Linked DNA regions of Canis lupus familiaris. The protein of the gene in region 2 interacts with the protein of the main gene of each other region in a pairwise test. Links are inferred from orthologs where the notes say so. Each region holds a gene or a part of one and is shown on either strand. Other genes may lie near its edges.

The links.
Region 1: the proteins of TRIM23 (region 2) and GEM interact in binary tests that used the Homo sapiens proteins (3 or more experiments, as listed by UniProt). The two-hybrid records come from large-scale screens. The link is inferred for Canis lupus familiaris from reciprocal best matches to the Homo sapiens genes TRIM23 and GEM.
Region 3: the proteins of TRIM23 (region 2) and COX5B interact in binary tests that used the Homo sapiens proteins (3 or more experiments, as listed by UniProt). The two-hybrid records come from large-scale screens. The link is inferred for Canis lupus familiaris from reciprocal best matches to the Homo sapiens genes TRIM23 and COX5B.
Region 4: the proteins of TRIM23 (region 2) and BAG1 interact in binary tests that used the Homo sapiens proteins (3 or more experiments, as listed by UniProt). The two-hybrid records come from large-scale screens. The link is inferred for Canis lupus familiaris from reciprocal best matches to the Homo sapiens genes TRIM23 and BAG1.

The regions. Positions count from the first base shown.
Region 1 is NC_049250.1:39,678,205-39,682,378, reverse strand, and holds the end of GEM (GTP-binding protein GEM), read left to right. Parts: intron 1-96; coding exon 97-301; intron 302-2,056; coding exon 2,057-2,334; 3' UTR 2,335-3,437; downstream 3,438-4,174. UniProt on the Homo sapiens protein: Could be a regulatory protein, possibly participating in receptor-mediated signal transduction at the plasma membrane. Has guanine nucleotide-binding activity but undetectable intrinsic GTPase activity.
Region 2 is NC_049223.1:50,582,632-50,586,728, forward strand, and holds part of TRIM23 (E3 ubiquitin-protein ligase TRIM23), read right to left. Parts: intron 3,762-4,097; coding exon 3,599-3,761; intron 2,644-3,598; coding exon 2,522-2,643; intron 1-2,521.
Region 3 is NC_049231.1:46,036,367-46,040,696, forward strand, and holds the end of COX5B (cytochrome c oxidase subunit 5B), read right to left. Parts: intron 1,716-4,330; coding exon 1,642-1,715; intron 1,475-1,641; coding exon 1,375-1,474; intron 851-1,374; coding exon 738-850; downstream 1-737. UniProt on the Homo sapiens protein: Component of the cytochrome c oxidase, the last enzyme in the mitochondrial electron transport chain which drives oxidative phosphorylation.
Region 4 is NC_049232.1:50,587,299-50,590,586, forward strand, and holds part of BAG1 (BAG family molecular chaperone regulator 1), read right to left. Parts: intron 2,168-3,288; coding exon 2,060-2,167; intron 1,040-2,059; coding exon 977-1,039; intron 474-976; coding exon 384-473; 3' UTR 1-383. UniProt on the Homo sapiens protein: Co-chaperone for HSP70 and HSC70 chaperone proteins. Acts as a nucleotide-exchange factor (NEF) promoting the release of ADP from the HSP70 and HSC70 proteins thereby triggering client/substrate protein release.

The DNA of each region.
Region 1 (4,174 bases), on a different chromosome or scaffold from region 2:
GGTAACAACTTTAGGAGGCGCGTATTGTTTCTCTGCGAAGGACACCTCACTCGCCAGGCCAACCCGAGCTCAGGGAGGGTCTTCTCGTTGTACCAGGGGGAGAACGAATGGCTCCAGGACCACTGCATGCAAGTCGGGGACGCCTACCTGATTGTCTACTCCATCACGGACCGAGCCAGCTTCGAGAAGGCATCTGAGCTGCGGATCCAGCTCCGCAGGGCCCGGCAGGCAGAGGACATCCCTATAATTTTGGTGGGCAACAAAAGTGACCTGGTTCGGTGCCGGGAAGTGTCTGTGTCAGGTAAGCGGAGCGGCGCCAGGACCGGGGCACAGTCTCGGGGTCGCCTGGCTTTCCTCCAGATGGGTGCCCTTTTCTCTTCTTTCATGAAGCCGGAGCCAGGGAAATGCCCCGTGGAGCGTCGTGGGGGAGGCTCCAGCGTTCCCCGCAGATCCTCTCTGTGCCGATGGCTGCGCCCTCGTCCTTCTGGCCCATGTGCCGCATTCCCCTGTCCCCGCCCTGGAATTCCGTTAGGGAAAAGAGCATGCTCGGCTCAGGGGAAGGGGGGGATTTACTAGCACTCCCCAACCTTTTCTCCTTGTCCTTTTCTCTAGGGAACTCTTTGGAGTTCAGGGAAAGAAACGTAAGATGGGAACTCTGATTGGGGGCAACTGTGAGAGTTTCAGTGAGAATAAGAATTCTACTCTGGTTGCCTCTGGTTCCTGGGGCCCCGGGAACACCCTCCTTCCTGTCCCCTACCTTTTCCTTCCTAGATTTCCATGAAGGCACCAACCTGATGGGGTCACACAGACATTTCCATCCATAGTTCAGGGATATCGCCTCTTTCCTTGGGTCCCTTGAGATGTTATTGGCCTAATACAGATCTGGTTCCTGGTACGATGGTAAAAAAATTAAATACTGCATTGTCGGGCCCCACTCAGGAGAAACGAAATCTGATAAGGACGTACCATATACAGCTAGCTTGGGGATGTCTCACTCTTAGGGGACGACTGTCTACAGCAGTCATTTTTTTTCTAACCAAAACGTGGATACAAGGTCAGGGAACACGACCGAGTGTTCAAAATTGAGGCTCTTCCGGAAAAGCCGGTCCATGCGGTTTGCTGGTGACCGTGTCGTACATTGGTGAAATCATCGAAAGTTTTTCGAAGTACCTCATTGAAGCTTTAAAATTGTTTTTTGAGAGAGAAAAGGCAAAAAGTAGGATTCTTGTTCAATTCAGGAAACTGAGTCAGGTGAAAGAGTTCCGAATCTGAGCTTGAGGACGAAGCAGGTCTGGATTCAGACTTAACAGGCTGTGGGAACTCCCTCGCATTTTGATTGATTGATTTTTGGAGATTGTATTTATTTAGTCATGAAAGGCAGAGACACAGGCAGAGGGAGAAGCAGGCGGGGAGCCTGATGCGGGACTCGATCCCAGGACCTGGGGATCACACCCTGAGCCAAAGGCAGGCAGACGCTCAACCGCTGAGCCACCTGGGCATCCGTCCCTCATGTTTTATTTTTTATTTTTTAATATTTTATTTATTTATTCATGAGCGGCACAGATAGAGGCAGAGACACAGGCAGAGGGAGAGCAGGCTCCCTGCAGGGAGCCCGAGATGGGACTTGATCCCAGGACCCCGGGGTCACCTCCCGAGCCAAAGGCAGGTGCTCCACCGCTGGGCCACCCAGGCGCCCATCCCTCATGTTTTTAAGAGATCCCCCTCACCCCAGTTTCTTCATCTGTCTGAAAGGGAGAATGGAGTTTTCGGGGTTGTTTTGAACCTGGGCATACGGTTCGTGCAGTGTTCAGCCCGGCGGCTCGGGCAGCGCCGTAACTGCAGGCTGTGGTTTTCCCGTTGGAGTTAAGGTCACGTCTCTGCTGGAGGGGCCCTCCTCCCGGGAGCCTGAGGCGGGCCAGGTGCCCATCCCGGCTCCCCTGCTTCCAGGAAGCTCCCCGCCACCCCGCCCGTGCACCCCTGGGGGACCCGCGTCGCCGTGGCCTGCGGCCCGGTGGCGCCGAGCGGCTCTGACTGTCCCGCCCTCCTTCCCCCGCAGAGGGCAGAGCGTGCGCCGTGGTGTTCGACTGCAAGTTCATCGAGACGTCGGCGGCCGTCCAGCACAACGTGAAGGAGCTGTTCGAGGGCATCGTGCGGCAGGTGCGCCTGCGGCGGGACAGCAAGGAGAAGAACGAGCGGCGGCTGGCCTACCAGAAGAGGCGGGAGAGCATCCCCAGGAAGGCCAGGCGCTTCTGGGGCAAGATCGTGGCCAAAAACAACAAGAATATGGCCTTCAAGCTCAAGTCCAAGTCCTGCCATGACCTCTCTGTGCTCTAGGCCCCCGGGGTCACCCAGATGTCCCCTGACGGACATCGTTGAGCGCCATCGGGACCGATAATCTATATTAGATTGCATCCTTCGGTACTATTACGTGCGGCTTCCCCCACTGTAGCTGGGAATTCACGTGTTAGCCTCACGGGCAGCCAAGGGCATGGCAGACCACAGGTCTTTGTAAAAATCAGTATTTATTTGCAGGAAAAGCCTGACCTTGCTACTGGAACACCCGAGACTCCTGAGAGGGTGTGTTCGGTGTTCACACGTGTTTCCTCTCTCCTCCGGATAGTAGAGGATGGAAGGAAGCCTGCACCAGAACGCTCAGAACGAGGACTTTTCATTATTAAAATTTGTCCCGGTGTTCCAGGAGAGGAAGCTGAGGCCAGGGGGCCATAAACAAATATAGGAAAGCCGTCAAAGGATTAATCCGCGGGCGGGAAAATGAATCTCTCTGTACCGTATACTCATGGAGCTAGGCTTGTAGAACCGGGCTCCTCATAATCGTGACTATTATTGCTCCATCAAGCTGTGAAAAGAAATGATGGACCTTGCTGGAAACTAAAGCTTAGCAAAGGATTTTTGTGCAATGCCCACAGTTGGGGATCCAGAAATTTATAGCATTGGAACTGATACCGATACCGCTTACGGGATCAAAAATCCTATCTTCGCTTCTGTGTCTTACAGTGTTTTGTTTGGGGCAAAATTATTTAAATCACATTCTACGTAGTCGAACCGCCTCTCATGTTTCATGGTTTTTAAAGTCTTGGGGCCATCATGAATATATTTTTCAAATCTGAATTGTTGATAACCCGGAGTGCGAAATGCCAAATTTTGAAATATGATCAAAAGTCTGAGTTTTTATAAAACACGAAAGGCGAATACTTCCAGTGCTTCGGGTTGACCCTTGTATGCCACAGCTCTGCTCTATTTATTGTTATTTTGCAAAATAATAATCATTTTAACATTTGATAAAGCATATTTATGAACATATTTCTTAATAGGAAAAATGTCCATTTTATTACCATTTTCTATCTTTTTCAGAATATGCGAGTTTTTACCTATATGTCTTATAATAAAAAGAAATAAAATCTTTGGGAAAAAAGGCATTCTTAAAATGTTTTTCCTCCCCAAATAAGCCGATTATGATGCTTTCCGTATAGCTTCTAGGGAAGCCGTCTGTCCTCCCTGATCCAACCATCCTATGCCGGACATACGCAAGCGCACCCTATGGAAACATACCTGTTATTTTATATTTTATATTTATTTCTTCTTTTCATCGGTGGTGGCCCCGTTGTTGTTTGTTTCAAAGACTACCCCTGACACCTCTCCTCTGGAGCCATGGGTCACAGTAACACAAGGTTATTTTTGGCTAATACAGTTGGGAAGTATTTGGGGTCCTCTAAATGCTAAGTTACGGTAAAAGCCAGATTGATCTTTTGGTTTGGCAAATTCCTGACTGAGCAGATGGGCCTTTGCTCCCCGAAGGCTCATGGTCTTAAGCTTGACTAAAGCATTAGAGGAAATTATAAAGGATTAGGGGGGAAAAAAAGGAACCTGGTGATTTTCAGCCTGAGATCTAGCCAGGCAAGGAGAACGTGGTTAGCGCTTTGCCCTCCCTGCGTTTCTGAGTCTGTAATGAGACACGCAGCCGTGGCACCTGCGACACCGCCTAACGCAACAGCTTTAGGTAACTCAGTTCTGCAGGCCCGTTCTCCTCCTTTTTTCCGAATTGAGCGCGGAGGTACCCATCTCTGTGCACCCCGCCTCCTTGGATCGCTCCAGGGAACGGTACAGGGAGGTGATATTATCAAGAGTGAACCTTCAGGTTTCACAGGTGACATCA
Region 2 (4,097 bases):
TAAAATAAATTTAAAAATAAATTTTAAAAAGTAAATTAAGAAATGAACTCAAAGGTAAACATTTTTACTTGCAATTTTGAGAAACACATACACATAAAACTAAAAATTCATGTCTTCTGTTTTCCAGACATGAAAAATAATTTACAAGGTCAATATTAGACAATATTCTAATGTCTTTTGAAAGATAAAGATATAGCACATGAAAGAACTACAAACATTTTAGAAAACAGTGCTCCCCACAACTCTGTGGTCAACTAATATTCAACAAAGCAGGAGAGAATAGCCAATGGAAAAAACACAGTCCCTTCAACGAATGGTGTTGGGAAAACTGGACAGCCATATACAGAAGAATGAAACTGGACCGTTTTCTTACACCATCCACAAAATTAAATTCAAAATGGATTAAAGACCTAAATGTGAGACAGGAATCTATCAAAATCCTAGAAGAGAACGGAAGCAACCTCTGGGATCTCAACCACAGCAAATTCTTACTAGACACATCTCCAGGGGCAAGGGAAACAAAAGCAAAAATGAACCTTTGGGACTTCATCAAGATAAAAAAGCTTCTGCACAGCAAAGGAAACAGTCAACAAAACTAAAAGGCAACCTACAGAATAGGAGAAGGTATTTGCAAATGACACATAGATAAAGGGCTAGTATCCAAAATCTATAAAGAACTTACCAAAATCAATACCCCTAAAATAAAAAAATCCAGTTAAGAAGTGGTGGAAGACAGGAACAGACATTTCTCAAAAGAAGATATATATATAAAGAGTAAACAGTCACATGAAAAACTGTTCAACATCACTCAGCATCAGAGAAATACAGATCAAAGCCATAATGAAATGCCACCTCACATCAGTTAGAATGGCTAAAAGTAACAACTCAGAAAATAACAGATGTTGGGGAGGATGCAGAGAAAGGAAAACCCTTTGCTTTGAGGGTAGGAATGCAAACCAATGCAGCCACTCTGGAAAACAGTATGAAGCTTCCTCGAAAAGTTAAAAAAAAACAGAACTACTCTACAACTCAGCAATTACACTACTAGGTATTTATCCAAAGGATACAAAAATAGTGATTCAAAGGGGCACATGCACCCCAATGTTTGTAGCAGCACTATCCACAATAGCCAAAATATACAAAGAGTCCAAAAGTCCATTAACAGATGAACAGATAAATATGTATATATAGATACAATGGAATATTACTCAGCCATAAAAAGAATGAAATTTGCAAAATTGTGGATGGAACCAGAGGGTATTATGCTAAGCAAAATAAATCAGTCACACAAAGACAAATGATTTCACTCATGTGTGGAATCTAACAAACAAAAAAAGATGAACATAGGGGAAGGGAAGGAAAAAGACATTAAGATAAAAACAGAGAAGGAGGCAAACCATTAAGAGATGCTTAACTACAGGAACAACCTGAGGGTTGCTGGAGGGAAGGTGGATTAGGGAATGGGGTAAATGGGTGATAAACATTAAGGAGGGCACATGATATACGAGCACTGGGTGTTACAGGCAACTGATGAATCACTAAATTTAACCCTGAAACTAATCCTATACTACACGTTAACTAACTTGAATTTAAATAAACTCTTTAAAGAAAAAAAAAAAAAGTGTTCCAGTCTGAAATTCACTTCAGTGAATCACTTTACATAAAGAAATCATGACCTAATAAAAAAGAGGTAGAAATCAATGACTTTTTTTCCTTGATACTGAACCTGTGGTTTTAAAGTTGATCACCAAAATCACTAACTGTTATTTACTACAACTATTCTTATATCTAGTACAATATATGAGCTATGGCGACAATCCTCCAAGCATTAAAAATGTATTTTAAGGGGCGCCTGGCTGGCTCAGTCTAGAGCATGCAACTCTTGATCTCAGGGTCATGAGTTCAAGCCCCACATTGGGCATGGAGCGTACTAAATTTAAAAAATAAAAATAAATAAAAATAAAAATGTATTTTAACCTGTGTTAATGAGCTTCATTCTAATATTTACTGGACGATCAGCCTGTTGGATAAAGAGAGTATACTTACACACAATTTAAACTTTTCATGAAGATATTTAATAGTAATAATTCCCTCAGGAGCTACTGCTATTTTTAATGCATTTGGCCTCTACATTAAATGGCCTTTTTCAAGGAGTTCCTCTTTCTTTGTGCTGTACTATTTACTGTTGATTCACTTTTGCATCCTTGGTTTAATGTAGCTTACACCTTCTTCTTACCATTCCATAACCTTCTTACTCTTTGACTTTATCCTTGGGTAGAACTGAATTATAATAAGGAGATAAGTTTATATATAAAACATACTTTGGGTATAGTATTTTCAGAGAATTGCTATTTAGCTGGAAATATTGCTGCCTACAAACCTGTAATATAATGAAAAGTTATGTTTCTGGAATCCTATCTGCTGGAGCAAGTGAGGTAAGATTGTGCTTTTAATGCAAAGATTTTAAATTAAAAGAAAAAATTCATACTCATAATAAATATTTCACATGTTCTATCAGTACCTCTCCAGATATTCCAATGGCTTCTTCTGCAGCTCCACATTGACCAATATGTCCATTCTGCAGTCGTTCCAAAAGCTCCAATAAAGCAAAATTTTTTTTCAATCCCCAAACACCTGAATCTCCTAGAATATAAAAATAACTAAATCTAACAAAATGGACTATTAATAATTTTACCTTTACTATACCTCAATAGTAATTTGTCTTATATTTTAATCATTAATATCTAAATTTTCAAAATTCAAATTTCCTCATTATCTTTTTATGTTAGAACTATTGTCTTGCTAAAATTCTCTTTAAAAAACAGTTCCTTAGCATTGCGAGTAGAAACATACTTAAAGTTCTACTATTTTTCTATCATTTAACTCTATAAATCCTATCATTGATTTTTACTACATATATTAAACCAAAGGCTTTAAAATATTTTTTATATCAACTTTCAGTAAGAAACATATTTTCAATTACAACACAGAATAGCATACGTTTATTTATATATATATATCAATACTTTTTTTAAATATGTGTATATATACATCTGAAACAAGAGTTTCACACACCAATATTCACCCTTACAGTGTGCAACACACCCACATTTTTGTTCTATTTCTTCTTTTAAAAATCATGCTCACAGCCAATTAAACTGATTTTATAACTACAAATAAGCTATGATTCATGTCTGAAAACCACTGTAAGAAACATACACTTAACCTAAAATAACTCCTTAGTAAAATGGAACTCAAACAGCTAAACATAATCTTTTTTCCCCACCTCTCATTTAAACTAGAATCTGCAGCACTCAATGACTATAAAAACTCTTTTTCACACAAATAAAACAAACAATTTTATTTATTTTTTTTAATTTTTTTTTTTTTTATTTATTTATGATAGTCACAGAGAGAGAAAGAGAGGCAGAGACACAGGCAGAGAGAGAAGCAGGCTCCATGCACCGGGAGCCTGACGTGGGAATCGATCCCGGGTCTCCAGGATCGCGCCCTGTGCCAAAGGCAGGCGCCAAACCGCTGCGCCACCCAGGGATCCCTACAATTTTAAAACTTAAATACATACAATGTATTTTCCTACCTAGATCTGTTACTTGTCGATCAAAAGGGCAACGGATTGCTCTTCCATGAAGAGGCAGGCGGGTAAGACAGTCATGACAGACTGTGTGGCCACAAAGCAGAAGGCGAGGAACTTTATCTCCTTGCAAAGAAAAGACATCTTCACAAACTCCACACTCCAGCACCTAGTGTTTGGAAAGGAAACGTGCTCTTTGAATGATTTTTTTTTAATATTTTACTTATTTATTCATGAGAGACAGCGAGAGAGAGAGAGAGAGAGAGAGAGAGGCAGAGACACAGGCAGAGGGAGAAGCAGGCTCCGTGCAGGGAGCCCGACGTGGGACTCGATACTGGGTCTCCAGGATCAAGCCCTGTGCTGAAGGCGGCGCTAAACCACCAGGGCTGCCCTCTTTGAATGATTTTAAAAGCACACATTCTTCAGGCCAAAAATACTCAATCTAATACACTAAATCGATCTTGTTACATTATTCCTCCATGAAAAAAACAGTCTCGGTCATAAA
Region 3 (4,330 bases), on a different chromosome or scaffold from region 2:
TCCATTTCACTTGATAGGTTCTCCCTACTTTTTTTCCTCATTGCAATTTTTAAATTTTTAACTTTTTTTTTTAATAAAAAGTAGGCTCCACACTCAATGTGGAGCTTGAACTCATGACCCTCAGTTCAAGAGTGGCATGCTCTACTGTCTGAGCCAGCAAGGTGTCCCTCCTCATTGCAATTTATTTGAAGAAACTGGTCATTGATTTCTGGAATTGCCTCATATTCTGGATTTTGATAATGGTATCTCCATGAACTATGCTTTGAACCCCAAAACTTCAAAACCCCCAAAACTCTGGTCACAAGGTCACCCTATTTTTATAACATTACTGTGAACCAACTGCCAGGCTCTTTATATATTATTTCTAATGCCTCACAAAATATTTATTTTTTTTAAAAGATATAACCTATCCGCAGAGTACATGTTCCAGTGACAAAACTAAATGATGGAGCCATTATTAAAAGTCGAGTCAGTCTGATGCCATAGCCCATGCTTTCTCCATAGCAGATGGTCTCAATCACTGTACTATGGGATTGTCAATCTTGGCGTACACAAACACATGGATAGCAAGCTAATATTAACAGATAGCTATTCCCAATGTAAAAATCCAGGCCTCACAAAAGACACAGGATAGAAACAAGACCAGCCAACTATGGGAGAAGGAGCCAATGCAATGGCTAGTCTTTATTGGAAAGAAGAAACTTCACAGCACATTTTGAGTAAATTAGTGCAAAGGCTCAGTGGGCCAACTGGTGGGGCACCAGCTTGTAATGGGTTCCACAGCTAGGGCATCGCTGGGCCTCGCCTTTGTGCAGCCAAAACCAGATGACGGTACTATTGTCCTCTTCACCTGAAAGGGAAAAGGTGGTTGAAGGCCATCCAACCTGAAGTGGAGACTTTCAATATTAACCTCATCCTCAGACACCTCTAAGACACAGTTATGGTTGACACCTGAAGAGATCAATTCAAGCTCTCTCCTTCCCCACTTTTCAGATGAAATGAGGCCCCGAGTTATCTATGAGTAAACTAACCTTACATCAAAGTCACCATTAAGTTCTAACAGTTCCTCTGCCTATGTAGAATCCCAAAGCACAGTCCTTTCTAGTATGTATCCCTAGTGCCTAAAACAGTGTCTGGCAAAGAGGAAGGAAATACAACAAATATTTTCTGGATCAACTCTCTCATGCTGCATCTCCAATGAGCTGATACTAATGAAGGGTTAATGAAGCTTGAAAGGGCCAGGGGACCCTTACAATAACTCATTTACACACACATCCCCTTTACACGAACACACCATGCACTCAAAAGATTTGAAACCTCTTACTGACGTCCTGTATATATTAAACAAATGGACAAGAGTGGTGAGGTACTTACAGATGCAGCCCACTATTCGCTTGTTGGTGATAGATGGGACTAAATTAGGGTCTTCTTTGGTGCCTGCAGCTGCCTTTGGGGCTAGAATATTGTATGGGTCCTGAAAAAGAATTAAGCCATTATGCCAAATGACCCGTAGCCTCCAGAGGCTAGTGGTACTGTTCCCACAAGTCAGGTTTCCTATCTCAGATGCTCCCAGAGAGGAACCTGCTCTGATCCCATCCAAGATCATGAACCCCAGAGAAGACACAAAAAGGAGTTTCTCACCAGTCCCTTCCGTGCGGCCATCATGACCTCCCTCTCCAGCCCTGTCGCCTGCTCGTCATCAGTAGGAACACCACCTAAAGGAAAATACGTGAATTTTGATATTGTCTGAATTATCAGGACGACAAATGCATATACATAAATGTTTACATACAGTTTACAAACTCCTAAAGGCTACTCATACACATTGTCTCCTAAGGACCACGGTCCTGATACCCCAAAGCGGCAGCCCCGGGTAATCTTTTCTTCCTTCAATCACGGAGGCCAGTATTTCTGCACATTTTCCCTAAAAGCAAGTCAGAGTCCTAGTAGGGTTCATCGCACTTGAGGTGAGCGCGGGTCTGAAGGGCAGCTTGGCCTCTCCACATCCCGGTTGCAACCCCTGTGCCCCAAGGTCACCTGGCACCTCGGTTTAAGATTTATCGCAACCGGGGGCAGTTCGGTGAGGGGCAGCACAGGGGACCAGGATAACTGGGAGACCCCCACGGAGGCGGAGTCACTCGGGGCCCCCGAGCGGTCACTGGGGCCCCGAGACGCTGAACGGCCCGCCCCGCTTCGCTGCCCAGGCACCACCCCGGGAAGGCAACGGCACGGTTCCCTGACGCGCCGGGCAGGCCGAGTACCTCCAGACGCCATTGAGCGCACCGCGGCGACTCCATTGGGACCGCGAGCCCTGAGGGCCTGCGCGGCCAGCGCTCCAACTCCGCGAAGTAACCTTGAAGCCATCACGCCCGCTACAAACAGCAGCACTTCCGGGAGCAAGCTCCGGAGAGAAGCGCGACTTCCGCTTCCTCTCAGGCCTCGAGCCCGCCCCACTCACGTGACTCTGGCAGGGGACGGAGGAGTCCGCGCATGCCTGGTTCCCGCTCGCGTCCTCCGCCGCGCAGCGCGGGAGGCGGGGGCGCGGTCTGGCTGTGGCGTGTACGGGGGCTCCTCGGGCCGTGCCCTTTACGAACGCCGGGGCAGCTCGTTTTGCGCCGGCTGGACTCCGTGGCCTCGACCATAGAGTTAGGCGACCACGGTGGACTTCCTGTGCAGCTTTCCTGCTAGTTGTGCTCTGTAAATGAGGCGGCCGCTTGATAGAAGTCCTAAGCCCGAGTCTGTCAGACCTGCTGGACCCAAATTTGAGGGCGGGCTCGGTAAGGCCAGTGTTAACCGGTAGGCGGGTCCCCGGGCAGTGTGAAGCATCGGGGACTTGCTGAATTGGCCCGTCTGTGAGCACTTGGGCAGGACCTACGGGCACTGTTACAGTGGAGGTGAGGTCCAGGCCTGAGGTGGGACCCGAAGGGGAAGGAGGTTGGGGCAGGTTCTGTGTGGTTTGAACTTTGTTTTGAAGTTGGGTATTAGGACTTTTTTTTTTTTTTTTTTGGTGTTCAATTTGCCAACATACAGCATAACACCCAGTGCTCATCCCATCAAGTGCCCCCGTCAGTGCCCGCCCACCTCCCTTCCACTACCCCTTGTTCGTTTCCCAGAGTTAGGAGTCTCTCATGTTGTCTCCCTGATATTTCCCACTCATTTTCTCTCCTTTCCCCTTTATTCCCTTTCACTATTTTTTATATTCCCCAAATGAATGAGACCATATAATGTTTGTCCTTCTCCGATTGACTTACTTCACTCAGCAAATACCCTCCAGTTCCATCCACGTTGAAGCAAATGGTGGGTATTTGTCGTTTCTAATGGCTGAGGAATATTCCATCGTATACATAGACCACATCTTCTTTATCCATTCATCTTTCCATGGACACCAAGGCTCCTTCCACAGTTTGGCTATTGTGGACATTGCTGGTATTAGGACTTTCTTAATGAACTGTCCCACCTGGAGTGGAGAGGACTATTATGTCACTGACACCGGAGTAACAGCAGTGCGTCCATGTGACAGACTTCTAAGAGGTTTGGTCAACAACTCGAGAGTGTTCAGTCTGGGCAGAGCCACTCTTTCTTGATCTAAATATAGTTCCTGAAGACCTTGACACCCTTCCTCCCGCCCTAGTGATGCTACTTTTGGTCAGCAGTGGTGACCACACAGCAGTCTTGGAGAAGGGGCATCTGTGCCGGCCTTGGCATTCCGAGGCAGTGGCATGATTGGTTTAGTGATCCCTTCGAAGCAGCCCACATTCCTGCCAACACTGGTGCCCTGCAGTGCCGGTGCTCTGATATCCAGCTTTTAGTTGAAAGGGCTGACTCTACCCAGCGTGGAAAGGTACACCTCAACTAAATTTGGACTTTCTTTCATCTCCCCTTTGCCTAGAACAATTGCATAATTAACCTGTCACTGGTTTGAAGTATGTTATTTCCTAATTGCCGTATAAAGAGGTCCTGTATGCTATTGGCTTGTGAAATATAAATTTTAATTCCCTGAGTGAACATGTGTTAAATAAATTATTGGTAAATACAATCTCAGTCTCTGAGCATAGTTTGCCACAAACAAAAAGAGCAAGAAGAGAAGCTGAGAATGGGAAATGAAGTCACCGAAGGTACCTGGGCCAGAGGTTTCTGTTTAATACTGAAAACATCTTTCATAGCTCCTGTTGCCCACAAGCCAAGGTGTGCAAGGTTCTTAGAAGGGTGGGCGTTTAAAAGTGTAAACACTGGGGAATCCCTGGGTGGCTCAGCGGTTTAGCCCCTGCCTTCAGCCCAGGGCCTGATCCCAGAGACCCAGGATCGAGTCCCATGTCAGGCTCCCTGCATG
Region 4 (3,288 bases), on a different chromosome or scaffold from region 2:
CAAGGGCAAAAAGGCCTCATGAATCTGAGGACCGGGGGGCTATAAACCCAGAATTACTCCAACACAAATGAGAGGTTCTGCCAACCCAAGGGAAGTACCCAAAGGTCGAAAGAGCGGGGAAGACTTGGCAGGGGAGGTCCTCTCCAGACAAGGTAGGCTGCTGGACAGCGCAGCCACACAGAGAAACAATGAGAAAACAGACAGGGGCTCTACTTAGGACTGCAGACAACACTTGTTCATCGAGAACAGGGGTAGGTTCAGGAAAACTGGCAAGTGGCCAATTGTCCCCAGCGGCCCTGGTGAAATCAGGTCACTTCTGTCCCAGAGAGGGCAGAGCTGGTGGAGCTGTTCTTCAGGGCGGCCCAGCCTCTCTCCGCCTCACCTCACTCGGCCAGAGCCAAGTTTGTGGACTGCAGCCGCTCTGTCTCCTGGCAGATGTTCTGCTCCACAGTGTCACACTCAGCCAGGAATGCCTAAAACGTGAATGCAGGGCAGTGAGGGACCATCCAGGACTAGCCATTCCCTGCCCATACAAGGCTCTTGCTCAGCCATTATGGGGAACCCCTGGGTGAATGATTTAAAACAGGCTATAGAGGAATGGAGCCAGCCTGGGCTCCCAGATAAGGGGAGGGAGGCAGAGGCCAGTGTAGGAGCAGGGTTTCTGACAACAATCCTCCAGAGGGGTGGTGAGGACAGGAAGCCTTGCCACTGTACTGCACAATTTCAGGGAACATGAATAGTGCCTCCTGAAATTGTGTCATATGGCAGCTATAACTGCTCTCCAACAATCTTCCTCCCCAATTAATTTAAATTCAAATACAATTACAGGGACATGAAAGGAGCTCTTCTCTTAGATTCTGGACTCATGAAATAACAACCAAAAAATGTCCATACCACACATCACACTTTTGCCCTACCCTACTCTGAACAGATAAACACACACATTAAACTTTGAATGCTTGATCACACAGCTCACCTGAACCCTTTTCACCAAACCCTTCCTTTTCAGTCTACTGTCTTTGAAATTTTCCGGCAGAATCTGTGGAAGAATAAATTGACACATAAATAATCTCAGTAAGAATGACATAACAACATGATGAAATACCCACAGTACACCAAATGCATCATAAGTCACCAACATGAACGAGACTTGCATTTTCAGGAATGATTTCCTCCCTTGATCTGTATTCCACATGGCCCTTCCCATGGCTCTCACCCCTATAAAAGCTCCCTTTGCTCTCAGTGTCTGGGCCATGGAAACTGATCTGTACCATGGACTTTGTCCTTTCTCTCCTTTCTATGTACAGATACTACGTCCTGGCCATGCCATGAGCTCACTGTGCTTATTCTTTACAACCTCCCTCACTCCCCGAGAATCCTATGCAGAGTAATTCACCCTCAAAAATGAGGCATCTAGCTGGAAATATCATTACCATCTTTTCTGTAAAAGGGATCATGGAGTTGATGATTCCCAATAGTCTCACAAGAGACTGAGTCTGGCTGAATTCTTTACAGATAATGAACCCAATGGAATCACCAGTCATATGAGTATCATGAAGCCCTCTGTTTCTCTGGCCATAAAATCACAGTCCATTTGGGTTCCAACTTTGTGAGGATTAGATGCTTTTAGGAAATATAAAAATGACAAAAGCCCTACGTTGGTGGATGTGACTGCTTAAAAATCAGGAACTATCTTGTCTTTCTGTGTATCTACCAAGGACTGAGCAGTGTCTCGCACACAGCAGGTGCTCAATATCCTCAGACAGTAAGAGTGCTTTACTGAAAGAGTGAAACTCACTGAAAAAGAGTCAAAGGAGGGCAGCCCAGGTGGCTCAGCAGCTTAGCGCTGCCTTTGGCCCAGGGTGTGATCCTGGAGACCCGGGATGGGGTCCCGCATCGGGTTCCCTGCATGGAGCCTGCTTCTCCCTCTGCCTGTGTCTCTGCCTCTCTCTCTCTCTCTGTGTCTCTCATGAATAAATAAATAAAATCTAAAAAAAAAAAAAAAAAAAAAAAAAAGAGTCAAAGGAAACTAGTTCTTCTCAGCTGAATATTTACTTACCAGTGTGTCAATCTCTTCCAAGATCTTCATAAATTGCTCGATTGTGGCTTTTACTCTCTTATCAAGTTTGCAGAGAGCTTCAGCTTGCAAATCCTTGGCCAGAAAACCCTGTACAGGAATAATGCATTCTTGCAAGGGTTCCTTGAGGCTGACAGAAAACTTCATGCCAAGGCACTGATGAAGTAGCCACACACTGAGCCCACATTCCCCCCAATAGGCTAGTCCAGACCTCAAACCCAGAATTTCATCTCTTGGAAAAAACAGAGCCACCCAAAGCACTGTAATAGGCTGCAGGCCACTATCTCACACGGCCCACTGGGGCTGCTAATGCCTCCTGAGCCCTGGCTCCGATGAAGCCTTCAGTCACCAGTGTATACCCACATAGAAGCAGATGTTAAGAACATAAGGTGTAGGGATGCCCGAGTGGCTCAGTCCATTAAGCATCTGCCTTCAACTCAGGTCATGATCCAGGGGTCCTGGGATCGAGCCCTGCCTCAGGCTCTCTGCTGAGTGGGTAGCCTGCTTCTCCCTCTGCCTGTCAATTCCCCTGCTTGTGCTCTCTTTTTCTCTCAGTCAAATAAGTAGATAAAATCTTTAAGCCACAAAACAAAACAAAATACAAGGTGTAGAGTCTGATAGGCCCAGGCTTGAATTCTGTCATTTACTGGCTTGTGATCTTGTACAAGTTACTCAACCTCTCTGAGCCTTAATGTCCTCATTTTTATTTATTTTTTATTTTTTAATTTTTTTAAAAGATTTTATTTATTTATTTATGAGAGACACACACAGAGAGAGGCAGAGACACAGGCAGGGGGAGAAGCAGGCTCCATGCAGGGAGCCCAACGTGGGACTCGATCCCAGGTCTCCAGGATCACACCCCAGGCTGAAGGGAGCACTAAACCGCTGAGCCATTGGGGCTGCCCAATATCCTCATTTTTAAAATGGAGATTATGATACCCACACCAGATTATGATACTAGGAGGATAAAGAGAAATATATATAGACTCTTAACATAATTCCTGACACAGACATGTGTTAACAAACAGCAACATTGGGGTGCCTGGGTGGCTCAGTCACTTAGGTGTCTGCCTTCAGCTCAGGTCATGATCTCAGAGTCCTGGGATGGAGCCCTGTATCAGGCTCCCTGCTCACTGGGGATTCTCTTTCTCCCTCTGCCCCCTGCCCCTGCTTGTGTGCTTGTGTACACGCACACTTCTCTTTCTCAAATA